7 linked regions of the Canis lupus familiaris genome follow. Each later gene encodes a partner of the first gene's protein in a complex. Links are inferred from orthologs where the notes say so. Each region holds a gene or a part of one and is shown on either strand. Other genes may lie near its edges. The genes, in order: GNAI1, FFAR1, PTGDR2, HRH4, NUMA1, GPR17 and RGS16.

Region 1 (3,500 bases):
ATAAAAACTTTTAAAAGGTACCCTTCATTTTTACCATTTCCATAAATAAGCATATGTACAATCAGTAAAATTCTAAGAATACATGTTAACACTTTCTCCAAATATGCAATATCAGAGCAATATTTTCTATTTAGAAATAAAAGCTAAAAATTATTTTTATTTAAATCACTTTGAAAATATAAACAAGAGATTTGCATGTTCATTTTTTCTTAAATAAAAATTAAATATTCCTAAGAATGTTTCCTGTCCTTCTTCATCCAAAATATTGTCTGTCTAATCACCTTTCTTTACTGAACAAGGTATTTTATACCTAAATTTGTAAATGATATGCTTTAAAGCTACTTACTTAAAATGGAGATCTTTGAAAGTAAAATGGGTTTCGACAATTCCTGTTGTTTTCACTCTGGTTCTGAGAACATCCTGCTGAGTTGGGATATAATTTGGTTGTGCTATTCTGTCCAAGTCATTCAAATAGCTGAAGAAATAAATAAAATAATAGTTAATATAGCCCTTAAAGATCATCTACATCAAGAAGTAAAACATTTTGATGCATGCAATATCATAAATCAATGGAAATTTTTATATTTCTGTGTAATGATGTAAAAATACAACCAATTTAAGTTTATATGTTATACAATTCCCACTGAAATGAAAATGTATACTTCTCCAGCCACAAAGCCCTTTTAACATTTTCTAAGTACTGTGTACTTTGTTTCCTAAGGACACGAATTAGTAATTCTCCTTGTTAGAAACAAAACAGAATAATTTCTTAAAAACCACACACAACCAATTGTACACTAGGAGTCAGCTTCTTAAAAGTCTTTATTACACTTTTTTTAAGTAGCATGTATTTCTTTTCTGGACATTACTCTTGTTGAGGAGTTACAAAGACTGAAGTTTTTGAGAAAGTAATGAGTAGATCTCCAGCCAAAGGCTAAATTCAATACTATTCTTTTTCAGCCAGCTTTAAGTTACAAATAGGAAAACACTACGCACGCTCTTTTACTCTGCATTTTACTGGTTCTCTAAATAAATATTCATATTTGGGGATCCCTAGGTGGCTCAGCGGTTTAGTGCCTGCATTTGGCCCAGGGCGCAATCCTGGAGTCCCGGGATCGAGTCCCACGTCAGGCTCCCTGCATGGAGCCTGCTTCTCCCTCCTGCTGTGTCTCTGCTCTCTATGTCTATCATAAATAAATAAATATTTAAAAAAATATATTCATATTTTACTTCTCACTGGTTTTAGCCACCCACCCGTTCAATACTCTTTGCCAACAATGTCAAATATGTTATGCTACTAAAATGCAGTGGTGTCATACCATGCGATTATTTTTGTAAATTATTCTGTGTCATTTTATATAGTAAATAATGTTATAGAAAGTCCAGGTATGAAGAGAGTAATGTGAACCTGAGTGGTGAAAGAAGCCTTCATGGGTGGGGAGGGTTGTAAACAGAAATCTGAATGATGAGGGATGTGAACAGAAAAAAAGAATGCAATCCAGATCAGGAGAGTAGTCAAACAGTATGAGGAGGCAGGAATTGTCAGATCTTGCTTCTCACAAAGTAAGGCCCCCAGGAAGTTGTGCATAAACTCAAATGAGAAGTCTGGAATTGATTCTAAATGGGAAGCTTCCCAACAGTGTTTTCTGATACTAGAGTGCAGTGGTCAAAGATAATTTAGAAGATTCACATCTGTGTTTATTACAGAGGCACCAACTACTACAACTTTAATGGACGTTATCTTCTGAAACTGTTCCTTAGCCATTTAGAACAGATCTTACAAACAAAAGGAGCTCAATAAATATTTGATTTGTAGAGATGGAGTTGAAAAGCTATCGAAACACTGAATTAGTAATCAACAGTGTTTTAGACAGTTAAGTATATGTATGTGATATTGATACCAGAATTCATAGAGCATACCTGGAGTTATCTGCATTGTATTTATTGAACTTAAAATAATCTTATTATCACATTGCTGATAATCCCCTAGTACTCTGTGTTTTTAATTCCACATATATAATGATATACAGTATTGTAAAAAAAAAAATCTAATAAACACATGGCAATATTTTACGAATTGTCCCTCTGAAATAGTGTGTTAATCTTATTTAAAATGCACTTTGATTACTCCCATACATTTATTTGCTTAAAAATGCTACTCAATAGTCTCTAAAAATAATGCACATTCATATTTCAATAACACAAATTAATCCGGCATTGGGAAAAACTCCAATTATTTAAAATGATCATGAATTTCAAGTAAATTGGTAGTTAGATAGTCCCAGTGGGCAACTTGGCAACATCTCCCATCTCTAGCCCAAAACTCAGAAATCAAGAGGCTCTGTGACCACTATGGAGAAAAAGATTTCTAGGACTTCCTTCATTCTTGAAAAGTGGCTCCCTTGTTGCCATCGTGAAGTCAGAACTACTAGTAATGAAATACTGGGGAACCAAAATGACTTATTTTTCCAGTGCATACCCCGATACTTGAGCACACGGGACAAGTCTTGGTCATTAGACTGCAGTGGTCCAGGAAGTCCCATCATACAGGGAAAGTGACTTCAACCGATCATCTCTGAGAAGGACCCCTTAATTACTGCAAAAGCTCCCCTAGCTGGGCTCTACTCAGAGCAATCTTCTCAACATGAGTGATTCCCATTTAGCTCTTTCTGCAGGAGCTGGTGGTGCCAAAGCAAATAATATGGTCTAAGAATCGTGTTCTTCCTGTAAATCATTTTCTTCTAATTTCTCTTCGAGCTTCTGTAAAGTATGGTTTATTCATTCACTCATTATTAAACAAGAGCATAGCAAATGACAACTGTGTGTCATGGAGAAAGCACACAGGGTGAAAACAGACCGCACTGAATTTACAGTGTAGTGGCAGAGACAGAAAATCATTTCAACACAAATAAAAATTACCTCAAATGTAAATCTGTGAGTGCTCTGAAAGAAATATTTTGTATTTTAAGTATGTAAGACAGGGAGGCAAAGACCTATCTGTGAGTCAAGGCATATATCCTAAGAAAAGATGACACCAGTTGGAGAGGGGAGCTACATATTCAGTAACATGTTACATATACATATAGAAAATACATACAAAATAATATGTATATATTATATAGCTTACATAGTCATAAAGCATTAGAAATACAGATTAGGGGTCGCCTGGGTGGCTCAGTGGTTGAGCCTTCAGCTCAGGGCGTGATCCCAGGGTTCCTAGGATCAAGTTCCACATCGGGCTCCCTGCAGGGAGCCTGCTTCTAACCTCTGCCTCTGTCTCTGTCTCTCCAAAGAATAAATAAATGAAATCTTAAAAAAAATATATAGAATAGGAAATACTAATAAAAATTGGTATGGGTTACACAGTAAGGTGTATTTACTCCCTCACACTAAATCACAGAACAGAAACTGAGTATTCTTATGTGTAGCCAATGACCTGCTGAGTGATAATTGGGGAGAGCCGTAACCTATTTCTCACTGTGGTGAAATGGGTGTATTTA
Region 2 (3,522 bases), on another chromosome or scaffold:
CCTCTTCCAAACACTCGTTATAGGGGGTGAAATGGTCCTTCTGATTTTTCCTTTGGTTCTGTTGGTTCCCAAGGATAAAATACTAAACAACAGATGGCGAGTTCTTCTCTATCCCCAGGGAGGTGCTGGACCACATACGCAGGCCATGGGAGGGAAGCAACCAAGAATCAGTTTAGCAAATGAAGTAGGGAAGGGGGGATGGATTCAGTTATTTCTTTGGAGGCAATTGTTGGTGCCCCGAGAATCCCGTGCTGCCCCCACCTGAAGCCTGGGGGCCAAGGGGGGACGCTCCCAGGAAACCCCTAGCGAAGCTTGTCCTGGGTGCTTGGAATCCGGGAGGACCTGATGGCTGAAACACACCCCCCAAAACAGAGGAGTCTGAAGTCCAGAAAGCGTTTGTGTTGTCCGAGGCAGAGACAGAGAGACACAGGTATAGTCAGAGACAGAGAGACAAAACCCCCAGACAGACTGTGGCCATTTTAAATCTCACTTAGAAGGGGCACCTGGGTGGCTCAGTGGTGGAGCATCTGCCTGTGGCTCAGGGCGTGATCCCGGGGTCCTGGGAGCAGGGAGCCTGCTTCTCCCTCTGCCTATGTCTCTGTGTCCCTCTCTGTGTGTCTCATGAGTAAATAAATAAAATCTTAAAAAAAAAAAAAAAGATCTTCCTAGAAGGGCAAGGTGACCCCCATAGGGAGTAAGTGGGTGAATTCTCCGAGGCTGAGAAGAAAGCTAAGCAGTGCGCTGGAGTCTCACACCATCCATGCCTCGAACCATCCGCCCAGCATCGGTCCAAGTGTCCCAGAGGGACACAGTACGGGGACCACGGCTCGGCACTTCAGGGCCACCCAACGAGACCCGTCCCTCATCTGTCCTTTGCGCCACTCCTGCCGGCACCAGAAGGAAGGGTCAGAAACTACTGTCATCGAGCCAGAGGGGAAAGGACAGGGAACACCGGAGCCCTCTCCTCCCAAAATGTGCCCACCATCTGTGGGGGTCCGGGGAGGGCAGAGGAGACATCCCTGAAATGATTACTTCATTGTCCCACATTCCAGTCACCGAATTGCCGTGGGGTGGGCCACCAAAGTTTGTGGTGTCTGAGTGAGCCCGTAAGGCCGGGAGGAGAGAAGACAGCGCCCAGAGCAGGGCTGAACAGGCTGGGGTGGGGTGGGATCAAGCCGTAGCCTGGACGCCCCCCCCACCACCCTGCTCCTTTAAGGGACTAGCTACACACGCCTCACGCTACCCCTCATTGCTCCCCAGCCCCCGCCCTGTGTTTGCATCATCCGTTTGGACCCGTACCCCGGCTCCTGCGCTGAGATGCCCCATTAGCTGCTCACCCAGGCTGCTGCAGCCTCGGGCTAATGGCCCTGCCTCCCCGCCCTCCTCTACCTTCCGGCTCACTGCCCATCCTGGACGCCCTCCCTCAGCCCAGCGAGGGGGACTCCTGAGCCTCAGAGACATCTGGCAGCGCCAAGAGGTGAGTCCCTCTTCTTTTGGCTCCTCTCTCCTGCGATTATCCCCCAGGCCCCCCAGCATTACCTGCCCGGGGCGCCCCCTGAGGTTGGCTAAGGTCATTCCCGGTGGCCCTGATGTGGGGCCTGGCCTGCCTTTGGGCTCAACCCCGCGCCGCCCCCCTTCGCCTGCCCTTTACCCACCTTACCCCAATCCTGACATCCCCCCTCAGCTAGGAGTCGCCACCAGCCCCCCACCGGCTGCCATGCAGGTGCCCCCTGTCCCTGCCGGGGGCCTGACTCTGTCCTGACTTTCTGCCCCTTCTCTCCCCAGTCTCAGAAACCAGGCGGCCTTTCCTCGAACGGGACCTGCTCGCTTCCTTTGTGCTTTAAGCGAGGATACGAGGATACGGGGATACGAGGATACGAGGATACGGAGGACAGGAAGCAGAGGCCCGAGCTAGAGACCTCACTTGGCGCCCAGGCTCGCCTGCTCCCTGGGGGCCTCCCTCGTTGAGATAGTTGGTGTCGCGCTAGATGGCTTCTAGCGCTGGGGGCGGTCCGTGACCCCGGGAGCCCCTGCCCTGCCCCCCCACCCTGCCCGGGCCCATCCCAGGGTGGGGAGCGAGGGGAGCTCAGCCCTGGCCCCATGGACCTGCCCCCGCAGCTCTTCTTCGCCCTCTATGTGGCCGCCTTCGCGCTGGGCTTCCCGCTCAACATCCTGGCCATCGGGGGCGCCGTGTCCCACGCCCGGCTCCGCCTCACCCCCAGCCTCGTCTACGCCCTCCACCTGGGCTTCTCTGACCTCCTGCTGGCGGCCTCCCTGCCCCTGAAGGCGGTGGAGGCGCTGGCCCTGGGCGCCTGGCCTCTGCCCGCCCCGCTCTGCCCCGCCTTTGCCCTGGCCCACTTCGCGCCCCTCTACGCCGGCGGGGGCTTCCTGGCTGCCCTGAGCGTCGGCCGCTACCTGGGGGCCGCCTTCCCCTTGGGCTACCAAGCGGCCCGCAGGCCGCGCTACTCCTGGGCCGTGTGTGCGGCCATATGGGCCCTGGTCCTCTGTCACCTGGGGTTGGTCTTCGGGCTGGAGGCTCCGGGAGGCTGGGTGGACAACACCACCAGCTCCCTGGGCATCAACACGCCGGTCAACGGCTCTCCAGTCTGCCTGGAGGCCTGGGACCCTGCCTCAGCGGGCCCCGCTCGCCTCACCCTCTCTCTCCTGCTCTTCTTCCTGCCCCTGACCATCACGGCCTTCTGCTACGTGGGCTGCCTCCGGGCACTGGCCCGCTCAGGCCTGAGCCACAGACGGAAGCTAAGGGCAGCCTGGGTGGCCGGCGGGGCTCTGCTCACGCTGCTGTTCTGCTTAGGACCTTACAATGCCTCCAACGTGGCTGGCTTCCTGCGCCCCGACATAGGAGGCTGCTGGCGGAAACTGGGGCTCATCACGGGGGCTTGGAGCGTGGTGCTCAACCCACTGGTGACTGGCTACTTGGGAGGGGGCACCGGCCGGGTGACAAGTGTGGCAAGAACGAAAGGAGGGACATCTCAGAAGTAGTAGCCGCTGCTGGGGACAAGGGGCATGGAGCAGGAGGGCCTGGCTGCCTGGCCGGGCCCCTGCTGGGGACTCCTCCAGAGGAGCTGCAGCGCAGCCTTGCCTGGGAGCATCCCTGGAGCGGCTTGGAAAGGCCTGAGCCCGGCAGAAGGCCGCACCCCAGCTGCAGGGAAGACCGGAGGCCAGGAGCTAGGTCACAGAAGGAAGGTAAGCTTGCCTCTGGGCCCATCGGCGCAACTCCCCACCTGTGCCCGTCCCTCTTCTCCCCGTGCCCCCCTGCCAGTGCTACGGAGGTTTTCCTCCAACGTTGAGGAAAGGTTGCTCTGCCGATACCCTTTGGGAGATGCTACTCCCAACGTGTGGCCTAGGAAAGAACATCTTCATTTGCGAGTAAGAGGCAGGAGTCAAGATACTGACGCTGTTATACCACTTGGGACTCACAAGAGGGCAGCATTGGAATTGTGAACAGGAAGTTGGTAGGAAAAAGGATGCTCCAGCAGGGAGAGGGAAAATACTAGCAACACC
Region 3 (2,875 bases), about 36 Mb from region 1:
CTGAGCCAGAGAGCACCTACGTAAGGGGCCTACTGGAGTCGCTGGCACATCGTGGGGCCCCAGAACAATCTGAGTCCCCAACCCCTGCTGCCTAGCCCCTAGTTCCCTAATTCTTGCCTGCAGCCTCCCCTCTGCTCTCCCCAGTCTCAACCAGCTTTGCATCCGGTGGTCTTGGGTTTTTGAGGAGGCTGTGGGTGTGCACATCTGTCAGACGCTGGCTTCCCCAGCATTTACCTGAGAAGTTGCTCAGTTAATATCTGCTGAATGAGTGAGTCGCTGAGCAAATAGATGAGCAGGCTGGGCTTCCCCAAGGAGTGGGGAGCCGGCACATGGGCTCGGCTTCCCCGGGTAGGGGACAGTTCTCTAACCCTATTGGGCCTCCAGGGCCCTAGTCTGGTAGTTCCTCATGCCCAGCTCTCTCCTCTCTCTTATCTTATTTCCTCTCCAACTACCAGAGTAGGGGCTGGCTCCACAGTTCAAGGCTAACACACCCAACCTACCCCTGCTGTGGGAGCAAAGGGCCAACTGGAGAAGCTGCAGAGCCAAGATCTGAGCGTGGGACAGGCAGGGAGGGCACGTCCCTTAAAGGCACAGGCTTCTCCCACTCCCCTTCCCCAGGCCAGCTGACATCTCAGGTGGGGAACGCTGCAGGGATGGGGAAAAGGAATCCTGCGTGGCCTGGCTTTGTATCCGTTTCCATGTGACCCGAGGGGGCCTGCGGAATAGCGATCTCAACGCCGTGCTCGCTCAGGCGTACATATACTAAAATAATCTCAACATCGATGCGGTGCTTTCTGCGCGCCGGTTCCGCTCTCAGTGCTCATGTCTGTAAACTGGCCGGACACGCCCGGCAGCCCTAGGAGCTAGGGCCGGTTATGAGCTGACATCCACGTCACAGACGAAGAAACAGGCTCGGGAAGGTTAAATGGCTTGCCCGAGTTTGCACAGTGAGCGGGGTGTGTGTGTGTGTGTGTGTGTGTGTGTGCAGCTGGGATGTAATTCCCCCCACCTTACTGTCTTTGCTCAATTTCCCTGATCCCTCCCCCTGTCCCCACCCTCCAGGCTTCATCTCTACAGTTCACGGGTGGGATTCCAACGTCCTGGGGGAGGGGGTCCCCAGCTGCCAGGCGCCACCTACCTCAGAGCCCCTTCTCTCCGCCACAGAGCCTGCCATGTCGGCCAACGCCACCCTGAAGCCCCTCTGCCCCATCCTGGAGCAGATGAGCCGCATCCAAAGCCACAGCAACTCCAGCATGCGCTACATGGACCACGCTTCGGTGCTGCTGCACGGGCTGGCCTCGCTGCTGGGCCTGACGGAGAACGGACTCATCCTTTTCGTGGTGGGCTGCCGCATGCGCCAGACCGTGGTCACCACCTGGGTGCTGCACCTGGCGCTGTCGGACCTGCTGGCCACCGCCACCCTGCCCTTCTTCACGTACTTCCTGGCGGTGGGCCACTCGTGGGAGCTGGGCACCACGTTCTGCAAGCTGCACTCCTCCATCTTCTTCCTCAACATGTTCGCCAGCGGCTTCCTGCTCAGCGCCATCAGCCTGGACCGCTGCCTGCAGGTGGTGCGGCCAGTGTGGGCGCAGAACCACCGGACGGTCGCCATGGCCCACAGGGTCTGCCTGGGGCTCTGGGCGCTGGCGGTGCTCAACACTGTGCCCTACTTCGTGTTCCGGGACACCATCCCGCGGCTCGACGGCCGCATCATGTGCTACTACAACGTGCTGCTTCTGAACCCGGGGCCCGACCGCGACGCCACGTGCAACACGCGCCAGGCAGCCCTGGCCGTCAGCAAGTTCCTGGTGGCCTTCGTCGTGCCACTGGCCATCATCGCCTCCAGCCACTTTCTCGTGAGCGCGCAGCTGTGTCACCGCGGCCGCCGGCGGCCCAGCCGCTTCGTGCGCCTGGTGGCGGCCGTGGTGGCGGCCTTCGCGCTCTGCTGGGGGCCCTACCACGTGTTCAGCTTGCTGGAGGCCCGCGCGCACGCCGACCCCTCGCTGCGGCCTCTCGTGTGGCGCGGCCTGCCCTTCGTCACCAGCCTGGCCTTCCTCAACAGCGTGATCAACCCGCTGCTCTACGTGCTCACCTGCCCCGACGTGCTGCGCAAACTGCGGCGCTCGCTGCGGAGCGTGCTGGAGAGTGTGCTGCTGGACGACAGCGAGCTGGGCGGCCCGGGCAGCGGGCGCCGCCGCCGCTCCTCTGGGCCCCGCCAGGCCCCCGGCGCCCGCGCGCCACCGCCCCCGTCCGGGCCCGCACGCCTGCTTGCCTGGCTGCAGGGCGGCCGCGGGCGGTCAGCGCAGAGGGCCCGGTCCAGGTCCCAGGACGAGAGGGGCCCCCTGAACCGGGCGCTGAGCACCGCGTCGGGGTAGAGCGCAGCGACCGGGCACAAGAGCGCCCCGGGGGCGGGCAGGCGAGCCGGGCTCCGCGGCCCAACGCGCCTCCGGGGCCTCCGTCCCATCTAGAACCGTCAGGGCCCAGGGCGGGCGCCCGGATTCTGCACTTCACCGAGCTCCCAGGAGGCGAAGTGAGCGCTGCTGGTCAGCGGACCCCAGGGACCAGCGCAGGCGGGAAACCATAGATTGCTCCGACTTGAGAGGGGTGGCCACCCCTTCCTGGGGCTCAGGGCTCAGCTCCGCCTGATGGTCGGAGGGGGAAGGAGGTAAAGATCTTCACAGGAAACCAGCGATTGCGTTTCGGAGTAGCAAACCGGGACAAAGGTTTGGGAAGCACTGGTCTGGTCTAACTTGTCACGCAGTCACCTACCCCACGTTTGTTGAGATGCTCGATCCCAGGGACGGGTTCTGTCAGCCCCAACTTCTACTCATGATCCAACTGAGGCACACACAGGCCGGGCCACTAGCCCAAAGTG
Region 4 (4,213 bases), on another chromosome or scaffold:
GTTGAGTTGGCTCAACACAAGGCAAGAGAATGAAATGTAGCGCAATATGATTTGTCATTATTATTTTCCCCAAATGTTACCTACCTGACAGTCCACTTCTATGAAGGCAATTCCCCACAACCTAAGGCACAAGGCAAGATTTCTAAGTCTGTTAGATTGCTTTCTCTTCCCACATGAAATTACAAAAAATAGAATTAAGAATTCTGGAATTAAGAAATTACATTAAACTAGTGCTGCATTGCTTTTTTAACAGAAAGGCCTTCTAAGTTGACTAGGCATAAAAACTGGCTAGTTTTGAAAGGGACTTTGTAATTGTGGAAGAACGTACAAATTCCTAATACCTCTTGTTAGTGAATTAATAGTGAGTGAAATGTAAAGAAGAATAAAGATTAAGGAGAGTGACAAATTGGAAAAATAATTCAGATTTTTTTAAAGACCTTATTTATTCATAGAGACAGAGATTGAGAGAGAGAGAGAGAGAGAGAGAGACAGGCAGAGGGAGAAGCGGGCTCCATGCAGGGAGCCCGACGTGGGACTTGATCCCGAGTTTCCAGGATCATGCCCCGGGCTGCAGGCCGTGCTAAACCGCTGCGCCACTGGGGCTGCCCCTCATTCAGATTTTTAAAAAAGGTCATGATCATTAATTTTCATGCCATGAATGAAAAATAATAAAATCAACCTTAAGTCAAATCTCTCTATGTAATATGTATTTTATTTTTATCAGCTACATTTTTAAGAAATTACAAGAACCATCTTACACACAAGACTTCCAGGTTTGTGCAGTTAAAAAATATGTATTACATAGCAGCTGTGCAGCAGAGTCCTATCTGGTACTCCCTGACTCTGCACTTCATCTCCCCATTGCAAGTAATCTGCTGGGGGCTCCTCCTGGATGTCCCCTCTCTGCTCTGTGCCCTGGAAACTCACAAAAGACAGTAAGCAGGGGCAGCTGCACAGCTGATCTCATTTTCTCCCCCCCTTTTCTCAGGGATCACTGTCCTTCATTGCCTAATGTCCGGTGCTCTGACAACCATTGTTTCATATATTCTGCTCAGTTTTTTGGTTCTGTCAGATGGGATGGTGAATTCAGCCCCCGGTATCCCATCATGATCAGAAAAGAATCTTTAACTAGATCTATACCAGTTCAAAAAATAAGTCTCATTGGAGCCCAATTTCTTATCTATTTACTGAATCGATTATATTTCACATATATTATGTAATATTGCTCTATTAAGGGGAGGTAGTTAAATCACATTCAAATGTTTACACTAAAACATTTCACTATCTTTTGGAAACTACTTTTTCAGTGTCAGTTAAAGGGAAACTGTTATCACAAGATTGCTTTATCAAGAATCAGGAAGTACAATGAGATCAGCATTAGATCTTGAAAAATATTGTTATGAGTAGGAGACTATATATATTAGGTACCCGATTGGAAAACATACTTGCCAGAATTGTCTTCCTGGATTAATTTGCTCTATTGAGCTTCTTCATCATTTGATGTGATGTCAGCTACTAATGGAACAATTACTTTACCACTAAGTACTCGCATTACTCTAGCATTTTTAATGAGCTTACTAGCTTTTGCTATAATGCTAGGAAATGCTGTGGTTATTCTAGCTTTTGTGGTGGACAAAAAGCTTAGACATCGAAGTAACTACTTTTTCCTTAATTTGGCCATTGCTGACTTCTTCGTTGGTAAGTTTCATGTCTTTATTTCAGATAATCTTTTCCAATTATAACTTCTTTCTAAAACCTTTAAATTAGCTTTTTTTCTTTTTAAAGATTTTATTTATTTATTCATGAGAGACACAGTCAGAGAGAGAGGCAGAGACACAGGCAAAGGGAGAAGCAAGCTCCATGTAGGGAGCCTGATGTGGCACTTGATCCCAGGTCTCCAGGACCAAACCCTGGGCTGAAGGTGGCACTAAACCACTGAGCCACCCGGGCTGCCCTAAATTAGCTTTAAAAAAAAATAAGCTTCTGTTATTTCAAGGGACTGTTTAGAATTGGGGATGTTAAAATAAAAAAGTTTAAGGATTAAAATTCTGAGGAAACTATATGCCACTTTAGGGGAATAGTATGTATGTGTAAATCAGGTTTGTAGGAGAATTTTCCTTGACAAAATTTATTTTCTTTTTATAGAATAAAAATAAGTCCAGAATAGTTCTAAAATTGCTTTAGTCTAAGATTTATTTGTTTCTGGAGCTATTTTCCTTGTATATTTAGGTTTATAAGTATATGTAGAAATGTCAGCTGATAGTATTGCTTTATAGGAGCTTCTAGTATAATTTAACTTGTCGTGTCTATAGCTACATAAATGCTTTCATTTATTTTACAGTGAAAAAAACCCCTCATAAAATGCTTACTTCGTTGCCTGGAACATAGGGTTACTCAACAAATGTTAGTCCTCTTTTGATTTCTCTACAGATAGATGACAACTCAAAGCAAGATCACAAATGATAGTAGATTACCTACCATGTGTAAGGACTGTTAAGTACTCAAGTATGATTAGAAAATGACATATACAGAAGACTAAGTTAATTTCTTTCTTTGGTAAGGTTTCAATGTAGGAGAGTGGATAAGAGAAGCTCACAAGTGACTGCAACAGTATAGAGTATGATACGAGAACCACAGGGACCCACCAAGTGCTATGGGCACTCAGAGGAGGGAGAAAGCACATCTGGTTAGTGGGTAGAAGCATCTGAAATGAACTTCAGAGGATGGGTAGAATTTCCATAGGCAGAGATGGAGAGGAGTATTCTAAGAATCAGCAAAGACATGCTGGTAGAAAATCATCGTGTCCATCTTCCTAAGTGTGAGCTCCAGACAGGCTGTGTGGGATCAATAGGGGATGAAGCTGGAGTAGTTGGAATCTATATAATGAAGGCCCTTGAATACTAGTGTGTCTGGACTGGAGGTTTTTCAACAGAAAATGTGAAGATCTGGATTTTTAAAGCAGAAGAGTGATCGGATGGATTGAGGCTTTACCTTGGAGGCATTAGCAGAGATGTGGCAGGTGGCAGAAGCCAGAGCAGGTGGCGGCTTGGCTTCGGAAACATTCCTGCAGCAATCTAGGCACAAGTCATATGATGAGGTTCTGAGCGACTGCGGGGAGTGTAGAAAGGAAGTTGGGGAGGCAGAGCTGCAAGGGTGGGGTTGGGCAGGAGATAAAGATTAAGTTCTAGGAACAAGAAAAGTATGGCATGATTTATAGGAATAGGGGGCATTAGGGAGGGCAGCTAATGCTTCTGATATTGTACTGATAAACGTCCTGGAGAAAACTTCTAGCTTTGAGAGATGGATGTGGAGTCACAGCATAGAAGGATCACAGATGAAGATGGTGAACCACATAGAAGTATTGAAAAAAAGCAAAAATCTCCCCTTTCCTCTCCTCAATTCTGCCCCTTCAGGTAACCCACATTAACAACTTGAGGTAGATCCTTCCATATCATTTTCTATAATCACAGACACATGTATAACTATATGATTATATTTAATGTGAAGAGAATATTCGCTATAAATATACTTCTCCCTCTTTGCCTTCTTCACAGAATTGTACAGCTTTTAGATAATACCTAACACTTCAAGTTGATTATGTATTTTGACTAACTCAAATGGAGTGGCAGTAGGGAGGGATCGGGTAAAACTATACCCAACCACAAGAGCCTGAGGCCTGAAGCTTTTGAACAAAGATGGTACTAGATAAGCACAGAGGGTTTCCTGGTATGGCCCAATGGAAGCATCAGGGCAGCCCCACCAGCATGTGCTTGCACACCAAGGGAAATATCCCTGCTGGTGTAGTTATTCAACACTCCTGAGGGTCTCCCTCCATTGGCAGGTGGATGGGAAAAGGAATGGCTTTGCAGCTGATGACAGCAGACACAAGCCAGAATCTTTGTTAATCTGCCAGTCTCCTCCTTGATCTTTCCCTTTCCCCCTACCAGCTTCATCCAGAAGCCCACTTATTTAATAGTATTTGCCATGATGGTATAAGAAATTAGGACAGCCTCTGAGAACTTTCTGTAACAAGATTGGAGTTTGAGAGTTTGGTGTTGGGGCTGTTCTTTGTCCTTAGTCATGCTTAGCAGTGGGCTTTTTGGCTCTGAGCCTATAGGCTCATGATGGTGGTGCTGGGCCAGGGGAGAACTCAGGAGAACTTTCCTGTAGTTGTAAGGCAGAAATTCTTAGTTCTTTTGGTCAAGAGACCTTG
Region 5 (4,168 bases), on another chromosome or scaffold:
TTTGAGAAATAATCAGATGAGATCTAATAGGAGACTGAATGGCCTGGCCTAGAGAGGGCTTCTGTTTATGGGCTACAGGTGGAAGAAAAAGAATGTCACATGTCGGCCACATAATCTAGTGTATTCTGGGAGGTTATATTTTCAGATGCCACAAGGAAGCCCAAGATACAAACTAGCTCATGCCCTGGGGCAGTTTACTCCTTGGAACAAATCTTAAAGCTAGACAGGTTGTACACTCAAGCTAGTGACTTAGATTGAAATTGGTGACCTGGGGTCTAGTCCTAAATTGTCACTGATTTGGTGTGTGGCCTTGGGTAAGTCGCTTTCCTCTTTGGATTTCAGTGTTCCAATTTGTAAAATGGGGAGAAATATCCTTGACTCACAAAACTCCAAAGAGAGACTGAAGATGAAGGTGCTGGGTAAGGTGCCAAATGTAATCTGTCATGAAGACTGTAAAAGGAATCAAATGCTAACCATAGAGCTTTGAGAAGCAGACCACAGAGTTGTAGGGAGAAGAGGGAATTTAGGGACAGGACCCCAAATGAGTGTGTGTGGGCAGATGCTCCTGACTCTGAGGAAGAGGCTGTACCCTGGGACCTTGCTGCTTGTAAAGGAAAGAGACAGTGCAAGCCCCATACGTCTGCAGTGTGAAGGCCTGTGATTTAGTCTAATTTTACTTCCATGTCTTGAAGGGTCTCAGTTCATCAGAGGAAAACCCAACCATTTTCTGAGGGCGTTTCAGAATTCCCTCCGTCAGGGATTTGAGGCATCTGTATTAGGGGGGGTCTCAGGTTTGTGATACGGACGTTCTTAAGCGCCCCCAGGTCTGTACGGGTATGTATCTCGTTGCCCTTCCCTCCCCTCCCTCGGTCTATTCCATATGGATGTTGTGTCTTGTTCGTTGTCAAAGGGGGGTAAGGGATGTGTGCGGGGGGGAGGGGTTCTCAGGTCCCCGAGAAAGAAAATTCCTTAATCTCTCTTAGAACGAATTTCCTGTGTTCCCGCCTGACTCACCCGCAGTTGTTTTCCCTCCAGCCTCGGCGTCCCACTACCTCAGGCTTACTCAGCGTCAACTCCATAGTAACTACCTCGACCCGGCGACCCGCCGTAAGCGCTGCCGCGATACCTACCGGGAGCTGTAGTTCGCCAGGGGCGGGGCTCCAATGCCGCGGGACGTGCTGGGATTTGTAGTTTTCTTTGCTCTCAAGTCCAGGCCGGGGTCCGGAAATAGTGACACCCCCTTCTCTCTTCCCAGTGGTCCTCACACTTCCTTTTCCCGGGTCCTCAAGCGTGCCCTTGCGTGAAACTCCAGCCGACTGGGGCCAATCAGAGGGTGGCGCGAGGGGGCGGGGCCATGGTTTAAACTAATTGTGCGCTCACAGCGCTGGCGCGAGCCCGCGGCAAAAACGATCCCGTGGAAGCGTGAGGCGGAGCGGGAGCGCGCGGCCAGGTAACCGGCGCGGGCCCGCGGCTGGCGTTCGGTCTGGGCACCCGCAGGGATGCCCGGGCCTAAAGGGGGTGCTGGAGAGGCGGGTGCGAGCGGAAGGCCTCCTTCATAACCTACTCTGACTGGGGAGAATCTATTGGGGGTAAGGTTTGTGAGGAGGGGGGCATGTCCGGGGGGAGGTGCCGGCGTGCCTGAGGGGGGAGGGTCTGTTTGGGGGCGTGTCGGTGGAATTCTGTCTACGACCGGGGGGGGGGGGGGGGTGGTGGTGCGAGTAGTGCGTGTTCCTGAAAGGCTTGTGACCCAGAGGTCCCAGGGCAGTCTCCGCCTATTATTGTTAACAATAGTAGTAGTAATACTAGTAGTAAACATTTTCCGAGCACCGACTACGTTTCAGACACTCCCTTTACGTGGATCGTTTAAAAATATATTCCTGATTGTCCTATTATCCTTTATTACAGACGGGGAAGCGGAAGTATTTTATAATGCTTACTTGGCCAGGATTACATAGCTAGTGCATGGTTGTCTTCAATAAGGAGTAGAGGGTAAGGGGCTATGTGGGGGTGCGCCTCGTCTTGGACGAGACACCTATTTTGAGCCTCACGTCTCATACATAAACAACGAACTTAACCTGCCTTACCTTATTTCTTGGGGTTGTTCTGAGGGTCAAATCAGGTAAGTTGTTTCATGGAAGCATCTTGAAATGCACAAATCTGTGACTGTAAGTGACTTTGTGAAGGTTGTGGGTGGGAAAGAGCCTAACTGGCTTGATGCTGCCTCTTCTGGGTGCCCTCTCTTGCTTACCCGGCCCGCCCGGAAGTGCTTCTCACTTGGTATTGGAAGAGTGTCTGCATGTCTGTCCTTCTAGGTGGAGACAGTGTCTTTTGTCCCCGTATCCTGATGCCTAGGCAGGTGTGAGTGAAGCCTGCCTTGGCCATTAACATACACTTTGAAATGAGCTTTAATGTTCCGAAAGGAAATAAATAGCCTGGCCTTCCCATCTTCATTTAGTGGCTTTTGAACCTCTGTATGCTATCTTTTTGCCTGGAATGGCACTGCCTTCTAAAAATGTGATATTTACTTGCTTTAATCCATGTTTCCCTCTCTTGGTTTGTTGCCTGGTCCTGTATTCCCAAAGTTCTGGAATGACAAGTGCGGTACTTTGTGGTGGTCAGAAACCTTGGTGGTAAAGGAATTGGGTTACCTTGTGGAGATCTTTACTGCTATGAACATTTGGAAATCCAGAGGGAATATTCTTTCCATCAGTAGGGATGCATGTATGTGTTCCCTCCCTCTCTGTTCCTGTATGGTTCTCCTGTAGAAGAAGAAGCACATACTCCTCTGTAAAAGCTTCCAAAGTACTCTTTTCTTGGCCTAAGTTCAAGTAAATGACTAATTGTAATGCCTGGTTCTTTTTTTTTTTTTTTTTAAGATTTTATTTATTTATGAGAGAGAGACGCAGAGACACAGGCAGAGGGAGAAGCAGGGTCCATGCAGGGAGCCTGACGTGGGACTCGATCCTAGGTCTCCAGGATCACAGCCTGGGCTGAAGGCGGCGCTAAACCGCTGAGCCACCCGGCTGCCCTGTACTGCCTGATTCTTCATCTAATGCCAAAACTATACTCCCCCAAAGCTAGAAGATCTTACCTGAAAGCTCATATGAAAAACACTTCTATTTAGAATGTTCTTTTTTATTTATGGAATATTAAAGTGAGAAGAATGCCTTGAGTAGTACTTGAGTTCTAGAACTGTTAGGATGAGGGAAAGCCCTGCCACAGGTGGCTAAACAGAGCTGGTCTGAGAATGTTTTGACAGCTGTGTCTAATAACACCCTATGGTCATTAAGTGTGTTGGGGGTCATTTATTTCAGCCTCTTACTCAGTGTTATGCTAAACATATCAAAAGGTGTTGTCTGAATTCAAAAATCAAAATGAGCACTTACAATGATGAGACCACTCCCCCAAACAGCCTATTCAATATCGAACAATCCTAAGTAGCAATAATTGTTATTGTGATAGTATTGTTTTGTGCGGTCAGTGGTTACTTCATTTTACCCTTATATGCCGTTTTTTTTCACCATTCTTTCTTGAATTTTATTCCTTTCGTATTAGACAAATATATCCTTCAGATGTTTTCTTCAGTGAGGGTCAATTGGTGGTAAACACTCTTTGTGGAAACATCTTTATTGCCTCTTCAGTCTTGACAGTTTAGCTGGGTACTGGGCTTCCATTATTTTCGCTCAGCATTTCGAAAATGTTATTTTACTGAAATTTTGCGTTTTTGTTGTTACTTTTGAGAACTGTGTTCACAGTTTAACTATCATGTTGTTGTAGGTAACCTGCTTTTTTCCTTTGGTTTAAAGATCTTGTTTGTGTTTTGCAGTTTCATTACATGGTGTGGATTTAATTGTGTCCTACTGGGGGCTTACAGTGATTGCTCAATCTGAATTTTCATACCTTGCATGACTTTTTTTTGTTTTTTTAAATATTTTATTTTATTTATTTATTTTTTAATTTTTATTTATTTATGATAGTCACAGAGAGAGAGAGAGAGAGAGGCAGAGACACAGGCAGAGGGAGAAGCAGGCTCCATGCACCGGGAGCCTGACGTGGGATTCGATCCCGGGTCTCCAGGATCGCGCCCTGGGCCAAAGGCAGGCGCCAAACCGCTGCGCCACCCAGGGATCCCTAAATATTTTATTTATTTATTCATAAGCGACAGAGA
Region 6 (3,500 bases), on another chromosome or scaffold:
CCTCTCCTAGAAAAGAATCTGCCTCCTGGTTGTTAAACTACTCTGGGTGTTAAAATCTCCCCTACTGGCCTGGGGCCCAAGTGCAGGGCTTTCTGAAATACAGGTCTCCACCCTTTAGGATGTCCAAAATGGAGTTGGTAGGCTGAGTCCAGAAAGCTTGGGACCCAGGCCTGGATGGCTTTCAGGTGCCAACGGACAGCAGGCCCCTGACTTCCAGGAAACTGCCCGTCACTATACTGCTGTTGGGGCCCTTCTGGGTGGCAGGTGTTGGGGGAGCTGTGGTCGGGGGCTGACAGGAGAGGAGCACAAAGCCGTGACAGGCTTCGCACTGCAGTCGGTGGGAAATGCCACAAGGCCTGGGTAGGCGGGCCAGGAAGGGTCCTGAGACTTAGGGTGAGCAGGGTTCACCCTGCAAGGATGAGGCCAAAGAGAAGCTGGCTGTGCTTGCATGCACCAGGCTCTCAGAAATAGGTGATTTAGGGACGCCTGGGTGGCTCAGTGGGTTAGGTGTCCAATTCTTCATTTCAGCTCATAACCTCAGGGTCCTGGAATCAAGCCCTGCATTGGGCCCCCTGCTAAGCCAGTAGTTTGCTTGAGGATTCTCTCCCTCTGACACTCCCCCCACCTAGGATTTTTCCTCGTCTCTCTATCTCTCCCACATAAATAAATAAATCTTGGAAAGAAAGAAAGAATGAAAGAAAGAAAGGAAGGAAGGAAGGAAGGAAGGAAGGAAGGAAGGAAGGAAGGAAGGAAGGAAGGAAAGAAAGATCTACCCCACCCACCCACTGGGAGTTGAGTCCAAGAGCCCCTCACTCCATCTCCTGCCATTCAAAAAGAACACTTGGGGAGCATGGCAGAAAATATGGGAATGCTCCCTCCATCCCAGAGCCCAGACAGATGGATTCACTGCCCACCCTCCCCATGGTCTGAGAGAGTGGACCTCTGGGACACCCAGCCCCAGGGCCCAGGCTCCTGTGTGCCTGGCAGGGAGGCAGCTGAGCAGTGGGAAGTCAGCCGCAGCAGTGGCCTGGCAAGCTCCAAGCCCTGGCTTCATTTTTGCTTTGTGCTGAGCTTCAGAAAGGCTCTGACACTCATTCTCCCCCAGGTGAACACAGGAGCTGCCTTCAGTAGTCCCCAAGGTGATGCTGAGCTAAGAAGCTTCTCGGGTTCCAGGCTCTGGAACCCATCTGCTTGTTCCCTCCAGGCTCGTCCCCCAGCTCTGCTTCCGGCTGAAGCATGAATGGCATAGAGGTGGCTTCCTCGGGTCTGACTGCTAACTCCTCCCTGGCCACCGCACAGCAATGCGGCCAGGAGACGCCACTGGAGAACATCCTCTTTGCCTCCTTCTACCTCCTGGATTTCATCCTGGCTTTTGTTGGCAATGCCCTGGCCCTGTGGCTCTTCATCCGGGACCACAAGTCAGGCACCCCTGCCAACGTATTCTTGATGCACCTGGCTGTGGCCGACCTGTCCTGCGTGCTGGTCCTGCCCACCCGCCTCGTCTACCACTTCTCTGGGAACCACTGGCCATTTGGGGAAATCCCGTGCCGACTCACCGGCTTCCTCTTCTACCTCAACATGTATGCCAGCATCTACTTCCTCACTTGCATCAGCGCTGACCGCTTCCTGGCCATCGTGCACCCTGTCAAGTCCCTCAAGCTCCGCAGGCCCCTCTACGCACACCTGGCCTGTGCCTTCCTCTGGGTGGTGGTGGCCGTGGCCATGGCCCCACTGCTGGTGAGCCCACAGACGGTGCAGACCAACCACACGGTCATCTGCCTGCAGCTGTACCGGGAGAAGGCCTCCCACCACGCCCTTGTGTCCCTGGCCGTGGCCTTCACCTTCCCGTTCGTCACCACCGTCACCTGTTACTTGCTGATCATCCGCAGCCTGCGGCAGGGCCCCCGTGTGGAAAAGCGCCTCAAGAACAAGGCGGTCCGCATGATCGCCATGGTGCTCACCATCTTCCTGGTGTGCTTCGTGCCCTACCACGTCCACCGTGCTGTCTACGTGCTGCACTACCACGGCGGCGGCACCTCGTGCGCCACCCAGCGCATCCTGGCCCTGGGAAACCGCATCACCTCCTGCCTCACCAGCCTCAACGGGGCGCTGGACCCAGTCATGTACTTCTTTGTGGCCGAGAAGTTCCGCGACGCCCTGTGCAACCTGATCTGTGGCAAAAGGCTCTCAGGCCCACCCCCCAGCTTTGAAGGGAAAACCAACGAGAGCTCGCTGAGCGCCAGGTCGGAGCTGTGAGCCCCAGGACAGGACGACAGGAGGGGACCGACGCCAGCCTTGGGCCCCACCCCTGCCGCACTGTCACAGACTGTCCTCAGAGGGACTCCCCCGCCGGGGCACCTGCGACCCAGACTGGAGGAGTGTGCCTTCTTCCCGGCACGTCCCTGCCGCCCTCTCCAAGGGCAGAACTCAGTACCCAGCACCCGGCTCCGGCTCCGTCTGATCTGATGCGCAAGTCCCTAAAACTGGACACCCCTTGATGGGCCCAATCAGCCACCCCGTCTGCAGAGACTTTGCTGGCACTGCTCACTCGCACTTACTAGATATTCAGTGACTTCATCGCGTGGGGGTGGGAGGGGAGGAGGCCAGGGGAACAGCTCCTGAACAATGAGCGTCTTTCTTTCCCAAGGGCTGCTTGCTAGACTCCCAATGTCCTTCCCGCCACAAAGAACACACAGCAGCAAAGCTCTGCAGAAAGAACCCCAGGAGGCAGCTGCGAATGACTCAAGAGAAGGCGGAGCAGGAATCTTGGTGGAGGGGTAAGGACTTTGAGTTCCCTGGGTGGCACCTTTGCCAGACGCCCCCTAAGTTTAGGGGTCATGGACTCTAACTCCTAGCTGAGTATTATAAGCACCTGGCCACCAGGTGACATCCAACAACGCGGTCTCTGGGCACGTCACCCTGGTTCTGGGTTCCGGATCCCTCCCGCGGTGAGCCCACACGGGCCTGCATGTAGCCCGACAATCTCTGGAGCTGCCTAATCCCTGCTGAGTTGGTGGTGCACACAGCACGGTGGACAGATATGGGGAGCCAGGCTCCATCACTGCCCTAGGACACCTCCGGCAGGGAGTCATGCCTGGCATGTGACCCTGTCTCCCACTAGCCCAGGCCAGCAGGGGCATCCTGAGCCCTGCCCCCTCTCAGGAGGCTTGACCAACCACAGGGGGCCAACCTTTGAGCTGTTCTATTCCCTGGCATGGCACCTACCACCCTGGCAGGTCCCTTTTGGCACTTGATCATACTGATCATAACCATAACTGTACTGTGATGCTGAAGGTTTTCGTGAGTGGGTAACATAACCACCTTCCCAGACCTCCTCCCCTGCACCCAAGAATGGCAAAGCAGAAGTGAAGACAGGAGAAGCCAGGCAGCACAGGCTTTTGCCTCTGGTTCTGACAGCCCCCCATGCAGGCTGGCCCCACGTGGACACTAAGTCCTGTATCACAGGCCTCAGAGGGCTGGCCCAGGCCAGGGGGTCTGAG
Region 7 (3,930 bases), on another chromosome or scaffold:
AGAGATAAGGAAAGTGAGGCACAGAAAAGTTAAGAAGCTGCCCTAAGGTCTCCCCCATCAGTACGTGGTGAAGCCATGATGTGAAACCTGGAAATCCAGCTCTGGATTCCACACTGCAAACCTCACACGCAGCCTCATTAAATAGCAATCCCAAGGGGAACGGAGGAGCCACGGTGGGAGGGGAGGGCTGCTGTGAGGCCTTTATGGGAAGGCTGGGAGAGAGGGAGGGCATTTATTACCTGGACTTCAGAGATAAGACACTGAACTAGCTGCTGCTTGAACCCAGGATCATTCATCAGCTTACAGAGGTGCTGGGATTCTAATTTTGGCTGGGAGGGCAGTGGAAAAAGCGTGGTAAATTCGTATTTGAATGCTGGCATAACACTAATCGTGAAACGCCGAGCAAATTCTTTCACCTCGCTCGTCCTAACTCAGTAAAAACGCCTGGCACACCGATGCTCCATAAAGAGCGCTCCCCCCCCCCCCCCCCGGCCGTTTGTCTGCCAGTTCCAACCCTCTGATCTTGCGCAAGTCCCTTTAACTTTCTGACTCAGTTTCTTTATCTGTGAAACAGGTGATGAGATGAGGAGCTGTGGTAAAGGGCTGACTTGGCCCCCTTGACCGACCGCTCGGGGAGGAGCACAGCAAACGGGGGTTATCAGGGTCATCGTGGCGTCGTCTTGCGGGGCTTGCAGCCCTGGCCGCCGTGGGTCAAGACGCAGCAGGTTCAGGCAGGCGCAGGCGGCGCGAGATCCACGCTGTGCGCATCCCCAACGCGCTCCCCCCCCCGCCCCGCAGATCCGCCGGCTACCGCGGAGTCGGCTTTCGGCTTTTACCGGAGGCCTCCGGGATTTTTTCCGACTGAGCCGAGTGGGCGCTTCTCGGGCCGTGTGACTTCCCGCCGCTCCTCGCTCCGCAGCCCGCTCAGCCCCGGGGAGCCGCAGCCACGTGCGCCGCGCCGCGGGCCCCTGCGGACGCCCCGCCCCTCGAGCCCCGGCCCCGCCCCCACCGCCCTCCGATTGGTCGGCGGCGCCCGGCCCCGCCCCGCTCCTCCGAGGGAATAAAAGCCGCGGTAGGCGCGCGTCGACGAGTGCAGCCCCGCCAGGCTAGAGCCCGCCGCGCCCCGCCGCCGCCGCCGCCGCCGCCCCCGCCCCTGCGCCCCTGCGCTCCTGCCGCCCGGCGTCCGCGGTGGTTCGTGGTGACCGCTGGAGCCCGTCACCGTCCTCTCCACGACGTGCTGCCCCGAACCCGCAGCCATGTGCCGGACCCTGGCCGCCTTCCCCACCACCTGCCTGGAGAGGTAAGAGGAGCTCGTCCCCGGAGCTTGCCGGCCGCCCGCAGGAAGGCCAGGTCCCGCCAGTCCCTCGGGAGCGGGGCGGACGGGCCCCGGGGGGACTCGAGCGACTGGAGTAGAGAAGCGGAGGTTCCACATTCTCAGAGGCTTCCCCTAGAGTCTTAGAGGAGCGACGGGCCAAGAGAAGCGAGAAGGAGAAGCAGCGGGAAGCAGCGGAATCACCGTGGACTGCCATTCCCCATCCTCTGACAAGTGGCAGTCCTCAGGTGACCTGCTGAAGACCGGCTGCAGGAGGGGCACATTGGCATCGGCGGGCAGAGTTCCCTTTTCTAGTTTCTTAAGCGCTTGGTTTTCAGTCTACAGCCCAGACCTGGGAGCATGCCCCTCGCGGGGCCCCGAGAAGGCAGGGAGGGGTTTTTGGGGGGTCCACCCGTGAGGGATGTGCCCACTCCCCAGGGAGCTACTCAACCACCTCTAGTCCTTGCTGAAGCTGATGGCTGGGAAGGAAAAGGGAAGAAGGTGGAAGCAGGAATCAATTTCCACACAGTTTGAGAAATATTCAGGACAAGTCTAGAGGGTGCCCACCGGCCTTCTGCTGATCAACAGGCACAAAGATAGATCAGTGTGCTTAGATGGGGGGAGGGGGGGACCCGAGTGTGCTGTGCCCTGAACTCAGAAAGTGTAAGTCCTGCTGAAGAACAGCTGAAACATGACTTTCACTGTTAACAGACAAGCAAAGTTTAAGCCCTGGGAACAGCCGAAGTTTCCCAGGAACCCTTGAGGCTGGAATTAGGGTGGCACCAGCCCCAAACTCCTCGGGATCCCAGGAGTTTTTTGCCTGGCTTTTTGCCCTGGCTGAGCAAATGTAGGATCCCTATATGTTCCTGCTTTGTCTTCCAGAGCCAAAGAGTTCAAGACACGACTGGGGATCTTTCTTCACAAATCAGAGCTGGGCTCAGATACTGGGAATGTTGGCAAGTTCGAGTGGAGCAGCAAACACAGCAAAGATGGGTAAGTCTTGCAAGCCAGCCTAGGGCCCTAGGGGGGAGGGAGCCAGATTTAGGAAAACAGCCACAAGAGAGAAAATACAAGGAGAAACTAGGACATGCAAGGGTGGGCCCTGGTGACCCCTTCCTGGAGATTTTGGTGAAGCTTCCTGCTGGTCTGCTATGGGTGACTGGGTAGGTGGCTCCAGGGTTCTGAGGCCACCAACAGCTGTGTGTACCCAAGGTGGGAATGTCCAGTTACCAGACTCTCCCACCTGGAGACGTCATTGTCCATGCAACCAGGTCTAGGACGGGGTCTAAGAACACTTGAAGGCTTTTCGGTCAGTGATTCTGCTTCCATTAGCATGCACTTTGGCTATAAGCCCTTTCTTTTTTTTTTTTTTTTTTTTTGTATGATAGTCACATAGAGAGAGAGAGAGGCAGAGACATAGGCAGAGGGAGAAGCAGGCTCCATGCACCGGGAGCCCGACGTGGGATTCGATCCCGGGTCTCCAGGATAGCGCCCTGGGCCAAAGGCAGACGCTAAACCGCTGCGCCACCCAGGGATCCCCAAGCCCTTTCATAATTAACATCAGTGGTGCCAGGTGCTGCTCTAGGCTCTGGGGTTATGGCTAGGCTTAGCCTCTATTCCATAAAGCCCTTACTTCCTGGGTGAAGTGTAGAAAACAAAGCTCAGAGTCAGAGGAATAGAAATGATTTTTGACAGTGAAGAGACAGTCTGAGAGTTATTTACTGAGGGCCGGAAGGTCCCTGGCTTTGGTTTCTCATTACTGAATTGTCCTCCAGAAAAATACCTGCGGCCTCAACTAAGGGTTCAAGAAGTTGGCTCCAATAATCACTGAGCAAATCTCTGTGTGAACATACAACTCCCATCAGAGTTCTAGGATTTATGCTATGCATTAGTATGTTGGGTTTTTTAAATTAAAATCTTGGCTATTTGTTTATTTATTATATATATATTTTTTTTAGCAGAAACTTCTCAGAAGATGTGCTGGGGTGGAAAGAGTCCTTTGACTCGCTACTGAGCAGTAAAAGTGAGTAGGACCCCGTTGTGTCTGTCTGCGGATGGCACATGTGTACCCATGTGCTTTGGAGCCAGCCTGAGGGATTCTGAAAAGCGTGGGCAAAATAATAGTCGTAGTAATAATAATAATGATCCCCTAGTGTGCCAGCCTCTGTTCAGAATACAAAGGCAGGTCCTTGTTCAAGAAAATTACATCCTAAAAATAGAACCATTAACTACAATTGCTGTCTTTCTTCTTTTATTCCCCGCTGTCCTGCTATCTGACCTGTTTCTCCCTCTCTCCCCTCAACCCCAGATGGAGTGGCTGCCTTCCACACTTTCCTGAAGACAGAGTTCAGTGAGGAAAACTTGGAGTTCTGGCTGGCCTGTGAAGAGTTTAAGAAGCTCCGATCTGCTGCCAAGCTGGCTTCCCGGGCTCACAAGATCTTTGAGGAATTCATCCGCAGTGAAGCCCCTAAAGAGGTCAGAGCCTCAGCATGTTCTGTGGGTCCTCTAGACCCTGCCTGCCCTTTCCCCGCTGAGGATTGGGGATGGGGAGGTATCCAGCCGGGGCAGGGTTGAGCTGAGAGAGTGATCTTATTTGGCACAGGGGTGAATGGGCTTGT

Evidence for each region.
Region 2: the proteins of GNAI1 (region 1) and FFAR1 are in contact, whole or in part, in a cryo-EM structure (PDB 9K1C), measured with the Homo sapiens proteins. The link is inferred for Canis lupus familiaris from reciprocal best matches to the Homo sapiens genes GNAI1 and FFAR1. Residues at the interface, in NP_002060.4 of Homo sapiens: Glu28, Ala31, Arg32, Leu194, Asp315, Thr316, Lys317, Glu318, Tyr320, Phe336, Thr340, Asp341, Ile343, Ile344, Lys345, Asn347, Leu348, Asp350, Cys351, Gly352, Leu353, Phe354; in NP_005294.1 of Homo sapiens: Arg37, Thr39, Pro40, Ser41, Leu100, Gly103, Arg104, Gly107, Ala108, Pro111, Leu112, Tyr114, Gln115, Arg118, Arg119, Cys205, Leu209, Ser212, Gly213, Leu214, Thr215, Arg217, Arg218, Arg221, Ala222, Val225, Ala226, Tyr278.
Region 3: the proteins of GNAI1 (region 1) and PTGDR2 are in contact, whole or in part, in a cryo-EM structure (PDB 8XXV), measured with the Homo sapiens proteins. The link is inferred for Canis lupus familiaris from reciprocal best matches to the Homo sapiens genes GNAI1 and PTGDR2. Residues at the interface, in NP_002060.4 of Homo sapiens: Glu28, Ala31, Arg32, Glu33, Val34, Lys192, Asp193, Leu194, Glu318, Tyr320, Phe336, Asp337, Thr340, Asp341, Ile343, Ile344, Lys345, Asn347, Leu348, Lys349, Asp350, Cys351, Gly352, Leu353, Phe354; in NP_004769.2 of Homo sapiens: Arg129, Gln132, Val133, Pro136, Val137, Gln140, Asn141, His142, Arg143, Thr144, Val145, Leu233, Arg236, Arg238, Arg239, Pro241, Arg243, Phe244, Leu247, Thr307, Cys308, Pro309, Asp310.
Region 4: the proteins of GNAI1 (region 1) and HRH4 are in contact, whole or in part, in a cryo-EM structure (PDB 9LRE), measured with the Homo sapiens proteins. The link is inferred for Canis lupus familiaris from reciprocal best matches to the Homo sapiens genes GNAI1 and HRH4. Residues at the interface, in NP_002060.4 of Homo sapiens: Ala31, Arg32, Glu33, Lys192, Asp193, Leu194, Thr219, Glu308, Asn311, Lys314, Asp315, Lys317, Glu318, Ile319, Phe336, Thr340, Asp341, Ile343, Ile344, Lys345, Asn347, Leu348, Lys349, Asp350, Cys351, Gly352, Leu353, Phe354; in NP_067637.2 of Homo sapiens: Arg112, Ser115, Val116, Ala119, Val120, Arg123, Thr124, Gln125, His126, Ile197, Ser200, Leu201, Arg204, Asp205, Arg290, Val293, Glu294, Arg297, Arg300, Leu301, Ser304, Leu305, Leu308, Cys361, His362, Lys363, Arg364.
Region 5: GNAI1 (region 1) and NUMA1 share a complex: the UniProt entries of both Homo sapiens proteins name them as parts of the spindle orientation complex. The link is inferred for Canis lupus familiaris from reciprocal best matches to the Homo sapiens genes GNAI1 and NUMA1.
Region 6: the proteins of GNAI1 (region 1) and GPR17 are in contact, whole or in part, in a cryo-EM structure (PDB 7Y89), measured with the Homo sapiens proteins. The link is inferred for Canis lupus familiaris from reciprocal best matches to the Homo sapiens genes GNAI1 and GPR17. Residues at the interface, in NP_002060.4 of Homo sapiens: Glu28, Arg32, Lys192, Asp193, Leu194, Asp315, Thr316, Glu318, Tyr320, Phe336, Thr340, Asp341, Ile343, Ile344, Lys345, Asn347, Leu348, Lys349, Asp350, Cys351, Gly352, Leu353, Phe354; in NP_001154887.1 of Homo sapiens: Thr92, Ala94, Asp156, Arg157, Ala160, Ile161, Pro164, Val165, Leu168, Lys169, Arg171, Arg172, Pro173, Leu247, Leu251, Arg252, Val253, Glu254, Leu257, Lys260, Ala261, Met264, Ile265, Ala329, Glu330, Lys331.
Region 7: the proteins of GNAI1 (region 1) and RGS16 are in contact, whole or in part, in a crystal structure (PDB 2IK8), measured with the Homo sapiens proteins. The link is inferred for Canis lupus familiaris from reciprocal best matches to the Homo sapiens genes GNAI1 and RGS16. Residues at the interface, in NP_002060.4 of Homo sapiens: Val179, Lys180, Thr181, Thr182, Gly183, Ile184, Val185, Gln204, Ser206, Glu207, Lys209, Lys210, His213, Ala235, Glu236, Asp237, Glu238; in NP_002919.3 of Homo sapiens: Glu86, Phe87, Ser88, Glu90, Asn91, Ala126, Pro127, Glu129, Val130, Asn131, Ile132, Asp133, His134, Leu162, Lys165, Asp166, Ser167, Arg170.

Annotation. Positions count from the first base shown.
Region 1 is NC_049239.1:20,214,737-20,218,236, reverse strand, and holds part of GNAI1 (guanine nucleotide-binding protein G(i) subunit alpha-1), read right to left. Parts: intron 476-3,500; coding exon 347-475; intron 1-346. UniProt on the Homo sapiens protein: Guanine nucleotide-binding proteins (G proteins) function as transducers downstream of G protein-coupled receptors (GPCRs) in numerous signaling cascades.
Region 2 is NC_049222.1:118,100,528-118,104,049, reverse strand, and holds FFAR1 (free fatty acid receptor 1), read left to right. Parts: upstream 1-1,275; 5' UTR 1,276-1,477; intron 1,478-1,785; 5' UTR 1,786-2,100; coding exon 2,101-3,000; 3' UTR 3,001-3,022; downstream 3,023-3,522.
Region 3 is NC_049239.1:56,036,532-56,039,406, forward strand, and holds PTGDR2 (prostaglandin D2 receptor 2), read left to right. Parts: upstream 1-1,172; coding exon 1,173-2,375; downstream 2,376-2,875.
Region 4 is NC_049228.1:63,977,493-63,981,705, reverse strand, and holds the start of HRH4 (histamine H4 receptor), read left to right. Parts: upstream 1-1,413; 5' UTR 1,414-1,505; coding exon 1,506-1,698; intron 1,699-4,213. UniProt on the Homo sapiens protein: The H4 subclass of histamine receptors could mediate the histamine signals in peripheral tissues. Displays a significant level of constitutive activity (spontaneous activity in the absence of agonist).
Region 5 is NC_049242.1:26,117,125-26,121,292, forward strand, and holds the start of NUMA1 (nuclear mitotic apparatus protein 1), read left to right. Parts: upstream 1-1,368; 5' UTR 1,369-1,450; intron 1,451-1,470; exon of another isoform or gene 1,471-1,589; intron 1,590-2,639; exon of another isoform or gene 2,640-2,759; intron 2,760-3,091; exon of another isoform or gene 3,092-3,127; intron 3,128-4,168. UniProt on the Homo sapiens protein: Microtubule (MT)-binding protein that plays a role in the formation and maintenance of the spindle poles and the alignement and the segregation of chromosomes during mitotic cell division.
Region 6 is NC_049240.1:24,318,443-24,321,942, reverse strand, and holds part of GPR17 (uracil nucleotide/cysteinyl leukotriene receptor), read left to right. Parts: intron 1-1,105; 5' UTR 1,106-1,236; coding exon 1,237-2,256; 3' UTR 2,257-3,500. UniProt on the Homo sapiens protein: Dual specificity receptor for uracil nucleotides and cysteinyl leukotrienes (CysLTs). Signals through G(i) and inhibition of adenylyl cyclase. May mediate brain damage by nucleotides and CysLTs following ischemia.
Region 7 is NC_049228.1:15,891,055-15,894,984, reverse strand, and holds the start of RGS16 (regulator of G-protein signaling 16), read left to right. Parts: upstream 1-1,130; 5' UTR 1,131-1,256; coding exon 1,257-1,300; intron 1,301-2,194; coding exon 2,195-2,305; intron 2,306-3,270; coding exon 3,271-3,335; intron 3,336-3,620; coding exon 3,621-3,787; intron 3,788-3,930. UniProt on the Homo sapiens protein: Regulates G protein-coupled receptor signaling cascades. Inhibits signal transduction by increasing the GTPase activity of G protein alpha subunits, thereby driving them into their inactive GDP-bound form.